3 linked regions of the Coturnix japonica genome follow. The main gene of each other region encodes a partner of the protein of the gene in region 2 in a complex. Links are inferred from orthologs where the notes say so. Each region holds a gene or a part of one and is shown on either strand. Other genes may lie near its edges.

Region 1 (4,170 bases), on a different chromosome or scaffold from region 2:
TTATAGCAAAAGTTAGCGTGAAACTTAAACCTAGCACTACCACCTCAGTCCATTTCACCAGCTCCACGCATCACAGCGCTTCTTCTGTGCAATCTTCTGCCAATCCAACACAACGCACGTTGAACCAGCGAGCAGCAGCGCTTCCTGCAGCGAAGGCACACTAGGGGGACTAGCTCTCTGCGGTGGAACAACGCTGCTGCTCGCAGGCAGCGGGACCTTTCCCAAAGGGAAATCATACGGGAAAACAAACCGAAACAAACCAGCAGACCCGTATTTTTGTTTGTAGAAACTTATTTCTTTAGTTATTTTTGGCGGAGAGCATTATTAGCAAGGACTCGAATGAGTTTAGTCTTTTAAATGAACGGCATTGGGGATTGCCTTAACGCATCAGCCTTTTTACTTCCCCCGCTGCCCAAGGGGAGCCCAGTGCCCACAGCCGCACACACAGGTCGCAGAGCCGACATCGGCAGCAGCGTCTGGCGCTCACAGCCCAACTTCTACTTTTCTTTCTTTCTTCTCTTTTTTTTTTTCCGCCGAGGCAACTCCAGACTTGCAGAGAGGAGCTTACTTTGGCCGAGGTGTTTCTAATGCAGTTTTTTATAGCTTTCTCCTATTTTTCCCATCTCTAATGAGCCGTGTTGCGGGGCGTTTCGCAGCGCTGACAGCCGCTCCGGCCGCAGCTTTGTTATTCAGATGGCCGCTCGCTCACACAGCCGTCCTTCGCTGCCGGGAGCCGACGCGCTCCCCCACAGCCCAAACCATACCCAGAAGCGACTCGGATGGGCCGGGAAAGCCGAGCTGCGCTTCTTCCCCGTCTTTTTCCCCCCGTCCCGCCCCGCGCCGCCGCATTCCCCGCGGCCGCTCCCTCCCAGCGGCGCATCCGACTACAGCTCCCAGCAGCCTCTGGAAGCGCGTGTCCGCCCCGCCCGGCCCCCGTTGTGCGAGAGGCTCCGGCCGAGTTTCGGGGTGGCCGCCGCTCGGGACGCCCGCGGGGCCGGCGCTGGGCGCGGGCGGAGCGGGAAGGTGCTGGCACCGCTGGGGAGCGGGGGCCGCGAGGACCGGGACCGATCCCTCCGGGAGGAAGGAGACCCGACCCGCGGCGGAATAGGGGGGAGAGGCGGACGCTCCCGCCCCGCCGAAGGAGGCAGCGACGACGCGGTTCCCCCCCTCCTCCTTCTCCCGGCGCAGGGGGAGGAGGAAGGCAGCGTCCCGCCAGGCAGCGGGGCGAGGGGCGGGAGGGTCCCGCGGCGTGGGGCGGTGCCAGCGAGGCGGGGCGGCGGGCGGAGGCTGCCCCGGGACGCCGGAGCTCGAGTTGCGGCGGAGGGGCGGCGGCCGCCCGTGTCGGCTCTCCCGATGTGTGTGTGAGACGGCGGCTGCGGGAGGAGGAGGAGGAGGAAGGGGGAGCCTCCCGCCCCGGCCCCGCTCGCTCTCCGCTCCGGCCGCTCGTTGTGCGCGAGAGACAGACACACACAGCCCGCGCCCATCCCTCCTCCCTCCCGCCCCTTCCCTCGCCCCGCAGCCCCAGGAGGCCGGAGCGGGCGCGGTGCTGCCACCGCGTCTCGGAGCTCCCTCGGCCCGGCCCGGCCACCGCCGCCGGAGGAGGAGGAGGAGGAGAAGGAGGAGGACGAGGCGGGCGGCCCAGCCATGAGCGGCGGGGAGGTGGTCTGCTCGGGCTGGCTCCGAAAGTCACCGCCGGAGAAGAAGTTGAAGCGCTACGTGAGTGCCCCCTTCCCCTCGCGGCTCTCCCGTTCCCCCGGCCCGGCCTCCGTGTCGCGGTGCCTCCCGCCGGGCCCGGACGGTGCGCCCTCCGCCCGCCGGCGTCCCGCCGCTTTCCCGGCCCTGCTTTCCTTTTTTCTTCTTTCTTCTTTATTTATCTTTTCTTTTTTTCCTCGGGTGTTTCTGCCTCGCTTCGGTCGCTTTTCCGAGAGAGTCGGGAGCGGGAGGGGGGCGGAGTTTTTCCCCTCTTCCCTGTGGATCCGAGCTCCGTGTAGATGGATTTTAAACGTAAACACTCGCCGGCCGCCGCCGGTGCTGCTGGGGGGCCGGGGCGGCGCGGGGGGCGGCGGAAGGTCGCCCTCGGCCGGGGAGTGCCGCCGCCGGGATGCCCTGCACGGAGCCCTCCCCGCCGCCGGGAGCCTTTGCCCTTGGGACCGGAGCTCTATAGATCGGGAAGGGAGGGGGGGGGGGAGCGAAGGGGGAGGAGGCTGCACGAAGTGTGTGTGCCTTTTTCTTTTCCTATCTGCCCGTTGTCGCTCAGAAGTAAATGTTTTAGCGGGGCGGCTTCGGAGGAGCTGACATTTAGTTCGCTGGAAAATGGAGCGTGTCTGCTGAGAGGGCACATTCGGTGACAGGGCAGCGGCGAGGCCGGGGCACGGGGTGCTGCCGGGCCGCTGGCGGGTCACGTAGGAGGTGCGGGTGATGCCAGGAACCTCCGCGCCTGCCCCTTTCCCATTGGCACCGGCACAGCTCCACGGGATCTGTGTCATTGGAACGAAATGCTGGGGCTTTCTCTCTCTCTCCCTCTCTTTTTTTTAGTTATTTTTATTTTCCTCAGTCCTGTTGGATGGGATTGAAATAGAAGCGGCCTTTGCAACTGTCAGTATTTTCACACAGCTAAGCCTTGATTTGAGGATTCGTAGTGTGGAACTGAGCGTAACCACGCTGTTTTTCATCTGTTAGTGATTAACGATCGCTTCTTGAAAAAAGAGCTGTTGCTTTTGTGTAGAGGTTTGTGTTTTTTGTTTGTTTTTTTTACATTCCAGGGAATTGGTGAAATGGGACTCTGCAAGAACAGAGGAATAATCCATTCACCAGTTCCCAATGGCAGAAATCCTGTTCATGCAGAGGACGCGGGATCAGATCTGCAGACCGTGACCTGATGGGACATGGGAGGGTTGAGCTTCCCTGGTGGGTTGGACATGGGCTGCATTTTTGCCTGCTGCTCTGTGTGTGTACTCATACTCATAGGATGCCACTGTACCACTGTGTAGTGGTTGGGAAAACTTCATTTTGCTCAAGTTTGAGTTAATTTGAGCCCCAAATCATGTACAGTCTCATTAATTATGGAAGAAAGTGTAAGAAAGAATTTGCTGTCAAAAAATGACAACACAAGTGAGTTCCTAAAGACGTTAGCTTCTTTTCCATCTAACTGTCCTTCTGGTGTTTTTCTGCTTCCATATTAGAATAACATCAGAACCTTTGAGGGAAAGAACTGAGTACTCTTTGTCAAGTAGCAACCTGTCCTAAAGAAATAATTTGTTTTCACCTGAAAAAGGGATGTGCTTTTTGAGGATGCACTGTATGAGTTGAGTGAGCATATGCCAGGCTCACATCAGCAGGGCTTGATTTAGCATCTGGATGCACTGCAGGCCGTAAGGTCATAAGTTGCACATCGTGGCCAGCTGATTTCTGCTTGTACTCTCCTGTATGAGGGAAAGCAGGATTTGAAGTGAAATTCCTCTTGCTTGTCTGTGGTGCCTGATCAGCTGTGGGGCTAAAGGTTCACGTTCACTTTAAAGGCATAAAAGTAACAGCCATCTTTAAGCAAAGTAAAGGTCGACAAACGTGAGTGAATTTTAAGTGAGCGTGCTGATTGAGGCTTTGGCTCCTGCTCTCTGTAATTCTATGCTTGTGCTGGGACTCAGAAAAGCTGCATTTTTCAAAGCCATATTTTATCCTGGTGATGGTTCAAGAGGCTGTACCAGAAGAAAAGATGGGAAAGTGATTTCAATAGGAAACCGTTTCTCTGCAACGCATACTTTTCACATGTATATATGGAAAATTGTAACTTCACGCCCTATTAGTTTTAGCATGCAAGTGTTGGGGCAAATCCAGGTTACCATCTGTGAAGGAAGATAAAAAGTCTGAAATTTCAGTTAAATATGGCTCCAGTTCTTAGGAAGGGTGAAAGGAGCACTTTGAAGCTAGTGCACAGACATATGTTTTGCAGGGACTGCAATTTTTAGTTTGAAATAGTTGGATGCAGTATTAAAGCTTACAATCATTTGGAGGCTAAAAAAAGAAAGGAAACTATCCTGCAGGTGGAAAAATCAGATTTGCTCGGATGCGTGACTTAATGCCATGCATATCTTTCCCCCTCTTAAAAGGAGTCCTATTTTAATGTCCCATTCGTGAGTTCTGCGTACAGAAGTAACTTTCCAGTATCCATTG
Region 2 (3,643 bases):
TGCTAGCAGGTTAAAACATGGAAATAATTGTGTTGAAACAAGCTTCAAACACCTTTACTTCACACATTTAATGGTTACTGCTTTGAGCATCCCTGAGGAAAGATCCACGAGCAGCAAAGACTTCTAGCAAGCTGGCTACAAGAGGTACACAATGCAACAATAAATCTGGTACAGGAGTCCTCACTTTCTCTGTGCCATTCAAACACAAAGCTCCCCAGTCACTTTCCAGAAGTGTTACAAAGACTGTCAACATTTCTGTCTGACACTTAACAGGACAAGAGGCACATTCTTCAATCTGCCTAAAGACAAGTAATTTACAGCTACCATCTGGACTGCCAAAGCACAACAGGGCATGAAGAGCTCCACAGACAGCCTGGAGATTGCCCCCTGCCTCCTCCCACCATGACTGGCAACCATGGCTTACCTGAGATGAATGAGAAAACATGGCATTAAAACTGCAGTGTTCAGGCTAAGAACAGCTCTGCAGTTCTTGCTCAAGGCCAGATAATAACATGAGAAAGAGGAGGAAATTCAATACACTGTTTATAATTACCACCCCTACCAGCTGCAATCTCACTATCCTACATTCCATCAAATTCATACAGAAATTTGTTATGTCTTTGTAAAACTCAATGGTTTTATTTTTCAACTCCCACTAGAAGTCTCAGTGCAGACTGCAGAGCTAATAAGCATGTCTGACCATAAATGAGTTTCTTCAAGAATGGCACTTTGCAAATCCATCACTTATCAAGATTCTCAAAATAGCACAGCCAAAATCAGACCCCTTATCAAAGATCTTGGATCATAAGACTTCCCAGTTTCCTGTTGCCATCTGCTGGTAGAGTTCTACAATTCACTATGAAGTGAGTGATACAAGTCTCTCCATTATAACGAAGTCACAACCAAAGCCATAGCCATTTTGGCTATGATCATCATATGTGCATGCAGTTTTTAAGTCAATCCAATTGTAAGAAAACTGTGAGGATGCAGCAGTCATAGAGACAAAAATAAAGGAAAGAATTTAATTAAAGGAAAGTAATTACCCCTCAGTTAGGAAAAAGTGCAAATGTTTGAATCATTTTATTAACAAACACAGGAATGGAACTGGTAGGTTTTAACACATTATGTGCGTGACACGGGAGAAGGAAGCAAAAGCTGGGATCTCAAGTAATGGAAGTAGAGCCAAGCTGTTGTGAGGAAGGTAGTAACAAACCTCTTTGAGTACCATAGAGATTCAATACCATACCATAACACGGGAAATACAATGAAGTACCTCAAATTCTTCCCAGAAGCCCTGCTTGACTTTATCTGTAGTCTCTGCTAGCTTGCTTAGCTCTCGTACTCTGCTTTCAATCTCTGCAGCGTTAATACGGGTGGTATTTAGGGGCTAGGAAAGAAAATAAAACGGTGACAACTGAAAAGACAGTTAAAAAAACACAAATTCCTGACACTAATGTAGGCAATTCTAAGATCCAGGACTTCACTGTTTATACATCTAGTGGCAGTGAGGGAAGAGAGGAAGGAAGTACGGAACAAATGCTTTTGGATAAAGTTTCACAGTTGTTCTTAATAACTTGTCTCATTTGTGAGCTAGTCTTGCAATCCCTATAGATCATAATGAACTTACAAGAAGTTCCACGCAATTACAAAGTCTGTTCTTCACCAGCAGCAATAAATTATTCCAATTTAGGCTTGCATGACTTTACCAGTTTTTCATGAAGTTTCCTTCTTCACTGTCATATTTCAAAAGGAAAGTTACGTTGTCACTCAGAACACAAGGACAAGCCCACTCTTCCCCAACAATATGCATTGAAATTAATAAAATCCAGTGGTGTTTTCTCCATTCACTCACCTGCTTAAGTTGCAATACTGTGCCCAAGGTTTCTACCATAGGGTTCTTCTTATAATGCTCCACTAGATCTGTCAGAGAGTCAAACTTCTCCCCTCCACCAACATCATATTTTAGATCCTTAAGAACAGATTGTCAGTCAGCAAAATAAACTTCATCAAATCAAGTCTGCACTGATACAATATTTAGGCTATACAACATAAGAGAAATTCTCTTTCAAACTACACATAGAAAAAAAATCCAGTAAAACTCTTCTGCTGGTAGATGGCAGACAACAAGAAACACATTACGGAGGACAACATCCTCTTTTCTGTCTCTAAACTGTTTCTGCATTTTAGTTTTTGTACAACTGTAGCAATCACAGTTTTACATAATTAAAACAAAAGTTGCAGATTTGAGTATTGAACAGCAAGCTATTGTTACGCACAAAAATATCTGAAGACTATAACTTAAATATATAAAGATGTAAATGATGGACCACTCTATATTTCAAGTGTTCTTTAGATCAAATACTCAGGCTTGTTTACACTATGTTGATCGCTCTCAGATGAGACTTTATGAAATGACAGGAGCAACAGACATGTGGATAGATCTCTGTCTGTCCAATTAGTCCTGTCTTTATATCATCCATACAGGAGACAGCAACACGCTTAAGAAGGTTCATGAACATTAAAAGCTCCATCAGCAAAAGGCTTTAAGACAGACTTCTGATGCAATCAAAAGCAAGTCTATTAAAAGGCACTTGACAGCACAGCATAGGAGGACACAATTCAGTCTGGCAAGCAATCAAGAAACAACACTAATAATTTTGAAGCCATCCAATTAGTCCATTTGATCAACCAGATGATGTATATCACACATTTGGTACCACAGGGAAAAGTGGAAATACATTCATGTTTCTAGTGCAGTGCAGAAAGGCCCTCTTGTAAGAATAAGCCCTCTCCCCTTAGAAGCAATACTGTTAGCTCCTGCTTCATCATACCTGGCAGTGAATCATGACATGTGTCACTTTAGATTTCCCATCATTACTCTCTCCTTTATCATCTCCTGTCCGGACAGAAAGAACAAAGTCCCCAGGGTGGCTTTGACTCTCACGCACGAGAAAGCTTCCATGTTTTCCTTTTTCTGTTAATAGTTTTTCAGCTTCTCTTCCAGAGAGATGCCCATGAAACCACCTTTAAATAAAAATAGACAGCACCCTAATAGTCATTCCAGCCATGGTTGAATCCACTTGGTGTAAAAAGTTATTACAAAGTAAAACACTATATTATACACTGAATGAGTCCTGGTCTACAGAAAGGTTCATAGTTTATTATAAATTCTTGGAAGTGTACGTGTATATAAACACGAGCAATTGCAGAAACACTTCAAAGCAGGCATTTCCACAAGCCCTGAAATTTGCATCTTATGCAAGCTTCAAACAAAGCTTTCACTTGGATCCTGTACAGCAGTACAGATGAATTCCCTGATGTCCAATAAATACAAGTTCTTACAGCAACTTTCTCCTCAGCAGTGGCATTTACTCTTGGTCTGTTACCTTTATGAGGGTACACTTTCCCAGTAACGCTCTAGGAACTTAACACCTTTGAGACCACACTCTCCCATCACATTAGGAACTGAGCAGGATAAATCACATAAAGGCAATAATTCTCCCCACAGCCATTAAATACAGGCCACACTGAGGCACGAGAGAGCTTGTTTAATATTTTCTGTTTTTTTCCCCCCTTTCTCCCCAATTCTGAGAATAAACTGACATCTGCTGGCCACAGAAGTTAATTTCCATCCTGCACAGAC
Region 3 (3,643 bases), on a different chromosome or scaffold from region 2:
GTATGTATGCAGGCTGGCCCGTGGAGGCAAGGAATGGTGTGCTGTGCCTGTGGTCACCTTCATCTCATTGTCCCTCTGTCCACACTGACCTCCTTGAGGGACAAGTGGCCATGCAGTGGAAGGGCTGCCAACCACTTTCCTTTGGAGATATAGCCCTGAGGATCAGTGTGATTGTACTTGCATGCCAGCTACCAACAGACCAAGTTTCACACCTCAGATTCCATGACTCTGAGCTCCTCCCAAGCCCTGTGCAGCACAGCTGTGGTGTTACGTCACCCTCCTTTACTGGGATGACCGGCTGCAAACAGATAGCCTTGCTGTGCTAAACAAAGGGCAGTCCAGAGCAAAGCTGCAACTCTCGTTGGACATTCACATTGCCCCACATGCTATAAGCTCCCAAAGCCTCTTAAGAAGTGCTTGTTCAGTGGTAATTAAGCCAATGGAGTGGACCAGGCTGTGGGGGATTCCTAAGATCTGGCTTAGCCTAGGATAGTCAGTAACATAGTCTCTCAATGAAACATCATGCAGGGCAGGGATGAGAGACAGGGTGGGGATTGTATGAATGACATGCAGAGAAAAATTCTGGCTCTTTGCCTCCAGCCAGCCAGTGTGATCTCCAAGAGTTACAGTCAGTGCTATCCCATGGAGCATAGAAGGGGAGCTCCAAATTTACACAATCTTACTTTGCAATAGGGTAACATTACTGTTCTAACTGTTAGTGTCTGGCAAACATAAGGCCCTTTCCAGTGTGTCTGTTTCAGTAAGCAACAAAAATAAGGTAGTCCTTCTAGTGGCTTTGAGCTATATAGGTCTATAAAGGTGAAGGAGATGACTCCTGTCCCTGCAGCAAAAGAAATGGGCTAGTGCTGAAGCTGGGCTTCTTCTCTGTGCCATTTGGGGCTGCTCCCAATGACAGTGCCCTGCCTCCTGCAGTGTGTGCATCGTGACCTGGCTGCCAGGAACGTCCTCATCTGTGAGGGGAAGCTGGTGAAGATCTGTGACTTTGGTCTGGCAAGAGATATCATGAGGGATTCCAACTACATCTCCAAAGGCAGCGTGAGTACCCGGAGCCACATCATCCCCTTCTCTGTAGGGCTCTGGGCCTGGCACCGTGCTCCCCTGCAAGCCCCCTGTCTGTTGCTGTGCCCAGAGGTGGTGACACAGCAGCATTCCCAGCTGATGGTGTCAACCATCACCAGCCAACCATCGTGCACTTGATGTCTGCATGGTGCTGAGCCTGGTCCTCAGCTGCAGGCAGGAGGAATGCAAAGTTAGGCAGCTTGGCAGCGGTGCAGTGAGTCACTGGCCACTCTGGGAAGATGTCCGCAGCCTTCTGCTGTAACCAGCAGACCACAGGGTAAGAGGAAGTGCTTTCCTGCAGGCAGCTACTTTCCAGAAAGGCATCTCCAGTCTTTTGAGGCAAGAGAGGATGGGGCTGTTATTGAGCTTACCTGTGCTTTCAACAGGAGTGTGTCTGCTCCAGCACTGAGGAGCTGGGGATGCACAAGCCTAAGCAGAGCAGGATGTGTAACTGGCTTCATTTGGCAGATAGGAAAACTGAGTCTGAGGGAGCTGAGAGTGGTGCCAGGCCCCTCAAAACTGTCTTTATCTACTCGATGAACTACTCAGCTTCCCCCCTGATTTGTCCCATTTGCATGGCATGGCAGCCAGATGTTGAGCATATTGGCCAGGGGACCTCTCTGCAGAGAGACTGTGATTTTCCAGTCCAGCCTTGATATGGCTTCTTTTCCTTATGAAACAAGAAATGAAACTGGGCCTCTTTGCAGTTCTTCCTGGAGATTATTTTGGTATTTGTTATGCAAGCGGATCTCTGGAACAGCACAGTCAGTGCTGCACACACTGATTGAGTGAGGCTCATTTTAGTGTATCGCCATGTGAGTAGGAACAGGAAAAGCTGAAGCTTCTGCTCTTTCCTGGTTGTCCCGTAGCCCACTCCAGCTTAGCCTTAGGTTTCCAGAGCGCAGATAGTTCTGGACTCCCTCTGGGAGTTCTGTGGTCATGCTGTGCAATCAGTGAACTCATCCCAAGGGCTGGGGAACAGAGATGCACACTGTGACAGCTCATTATAGCAGACAGGCTGTTCTGTATGATAGAAATGGATGTAGCACACCCGTTCTTCCCTCCTGCTTGCTGGGTTTGTCCTGCAGTAAGAAAGAGAAAATGGATCCCTCCAAGAAGTGTTGGTCAGCAGATATTTGGGGCTGTCAGGCAGCTCCAAGAGCTCCTCTCTGCTTGCAGATGCAGCTAACTCTCTTCTCATTGCAATTTTTCCTCACAGACCTTCTTGCCCCTTAAGTGGATGGCCCCAGAGAGCATTTTCAACAACCTCTACACCACCCTAAGTGATGTGTGGTCCTTTGGGATTCTTCTCTGGGAAATATTCACTCTAGGTAAGTGTCCTGGAGATCACGGTTGTGTCCACAGAAATGGTGGCACTTTAGCAGGATCCTTTCCTAAATGCAGAGGGTAGAAATCCATCCTAATCCCCAAGTCCCAACTCTACCAGCATCAGAGTAGCACTTCACTCAGTGTCTCCTTTTTTCCCATGCTGACGTGGCCACTTGGAAGCCAAATGAAACAGGAAAGGTAAATTGAAAAACAAAAAGCAAGCAGAGGAAACCTTGGTGTGAAAAGCATGTTGGTGTGGGGGTGGCAGGCTCTACATCAGCCTGATTCCCTGCTCTCCCTTTACTCCAGGAGGGACTCCCTACCCTGAACTGCCTATGAATGAACAGTTCTACAATGCCATCAAACGTGGCTATCGGATGTCCAAACCTACCCATGCTTCTGATGAAATGTAAGTGCTGCCTGCACGTGTTAACCCTGGGCCTGCTCTGCAGAAAGGACAGGAGCAGTTTTCCCTGATAAGTCACCAACGTGCCCTTTCTTCCATTTTGTTAGCTACGAAATCATGCAGAAGTGCTGGGAGGAGAAGTTTGAGATCAGACCGTCCTTCTCACAGCTGGTGGTGCTGATGGGAAACCTCTTGGTGGATTGCTACAGAAAGGTATGTGCAAAGGGTCAGTGCTCTTTGAAGGGATGCCACCTTGGTTTTACGGCATTGGATGAAGTTTTGGAGGCCCTGATTAATCATCATTAGCTGCTGAGCTGGAGCATTTTGCTGTGATTTGAGCTACATTCATTTAAACGGCCAGAGGAGGTGATTTGGGAATGCTGGGGATGTTGTGAGACAGCTGTCCTCATCAGGCAGCTGGTTTGTCAGCAATGGCAGAGATCAGAACTGGCTGAAGATCAGACGCCTGTTGCTGACTGATGCTTTGGAACCATGGAATTGTGCTGCTGATCACTCATATAGGAAACATTCACGATGTGTCTGTGGTGGAGTCAGGGTAGCTGAATGCAGCTAGATGTCAGCCCCTGGGGAAGGAAGCTTGGCAGTCAGGGAAAGCAAACACATCTGTGTGTTTTCTCCGCTCACAAGACCTTCCTGTTTTTCTGGTAACCTGCGAGAGCAGAGGTACCAGCAGGTGGATGAAGAGTTCATGAAGAGCGACCACCCTGCTGTTGTTCGCACAAGACCCACCATCCCCGGGTTGAACAACGCCAGGCTCCCTCCCAGCTCCCCCACCCTGTACACGGCCGTGCACCAGAACGGGGGAGA

The links.
Region 1: the proteins of PTPN11 (region 2) and GAB1 are in contact, whole or in part, in a crystal structure (PDB 4QSY), measured with the Homo sapiens proteins. The link is inferred for Coturnix japonica from reciprocal best matches to the Homo sapiens genes PTPN11 and GAB1. Residues at the interface, in NP_002825.3 of Homo sapiens: Gly13, Val14, Glu17, Arg32, Pro33, Ser34, Lys35, Ser36, Thr42, Arg47, Thr52, His53, Ile54, Lys55, Leu65, Gly67, Gly68, Tyr81, Gln87, Leu88, Lys89, Glu90, Lys91, Ile96; in NP_002030.2 of Homo sapiens: Lys623, Val625, Glu626, Tyr627, Leu628, Asp629, Leu630, Asp631, Leu632, Asp633.
Region 3: the proteins of PTPN11 (region 2) and PDGFRB are in contact, whole or in part, in a crystal structure (PDB 1AYA), measured with the Mus musculus proteins. The link is inferred for Coturnix japonica from reciprocal best matches to the Homo sapiens genes PTPN11 and PDGFRB. Residues at the interface, in NP_001103462.1 of Mus musculus: Gly13, Val14, Glu17, Arg32, Pro33, Ser34, Lys35, Ser36, Thr42, Thr52, His53, Ile54, Lys55, Leu65, Gly68, Gln87, Leu88, Lys89, Glu90, Lys91, Gly93, Ile96; in NP_032835.2 of Mus musculus: Ser1005, Val1006, Leu1007, Tyr1008, Thr1009, Ala1010, Val1011, Gln1012, Pro1013.

Annotation. Positions count from the first base shown.
Region 1 is NC_029519.1:26,775,682-26,779,851, forward strand, and holds the start of GAB1 (GRB2-associated-binding protein 1), read left to right. Parts: upstream 1-1,326; 5' UTR 1,327-1,644; coding exon 1,645-1,716; intron 1,717-4,170. UniProt on the Homo sapiens protein: Adapter protein that plays a role in intracellular signaling cascades triggered by activated receptor-type kinases. Plays a role in FGFR1 signaling. Probably involved in signaling by the epidermal growth factor receptor (EGFR) and the insulin receptor (INSR).
Region 2 is NC_029530.1:5,547,825-5,551,467, reverse strand, and holds part of PTPN11 (tyrosine-protein phosphatase non-receptor type 11), read right to left. Parts: intron 3,025-3,643; coding exon 2,832-3,024; intron 1,970-2,831; coding exon 1,853-1,969; intron 1,388-1,852; coding exon 1,274-1,387; intron 1-1,273. UniProt on the Homo sapiens protein: Acts downstream of various receptor and cytoplasmic protein tyrosine kinases to participate in the signal transduction from the cell surface to the nucleus. Positively regulates MAPK signal transduction pathway. Dephosphorylates GAB1, ARHGAP35 and EGFR.
Region 3 is NC_029528.1:4,804,977-4,808,619, reverse strand, and holds part of PDGFRB (platelet-derived growth factor receptor beta), read left to right. Parts: intron 1-933; coding exon 934-1,056; intron 1,057-2,299; coding exon 2,300-2,411; intron 2,412-2,718; coding exon 2,719-2,818; intron 2,819-2,922; coding exon 2,923-3,028; intron 3,029-3,497; coding exon 3,498-3,643. UniProt on the Homo sapiens protein: Tyrosine-protein kinase that acts as a cell-surface receptor for homodimeric PDGFB and PDGFD and for heterodimers formed by PDGFA and PDGFB, and plays an essential role in the regulation of embryonic development, cell proliferation, survival, differentiation, chemotaxis and migration.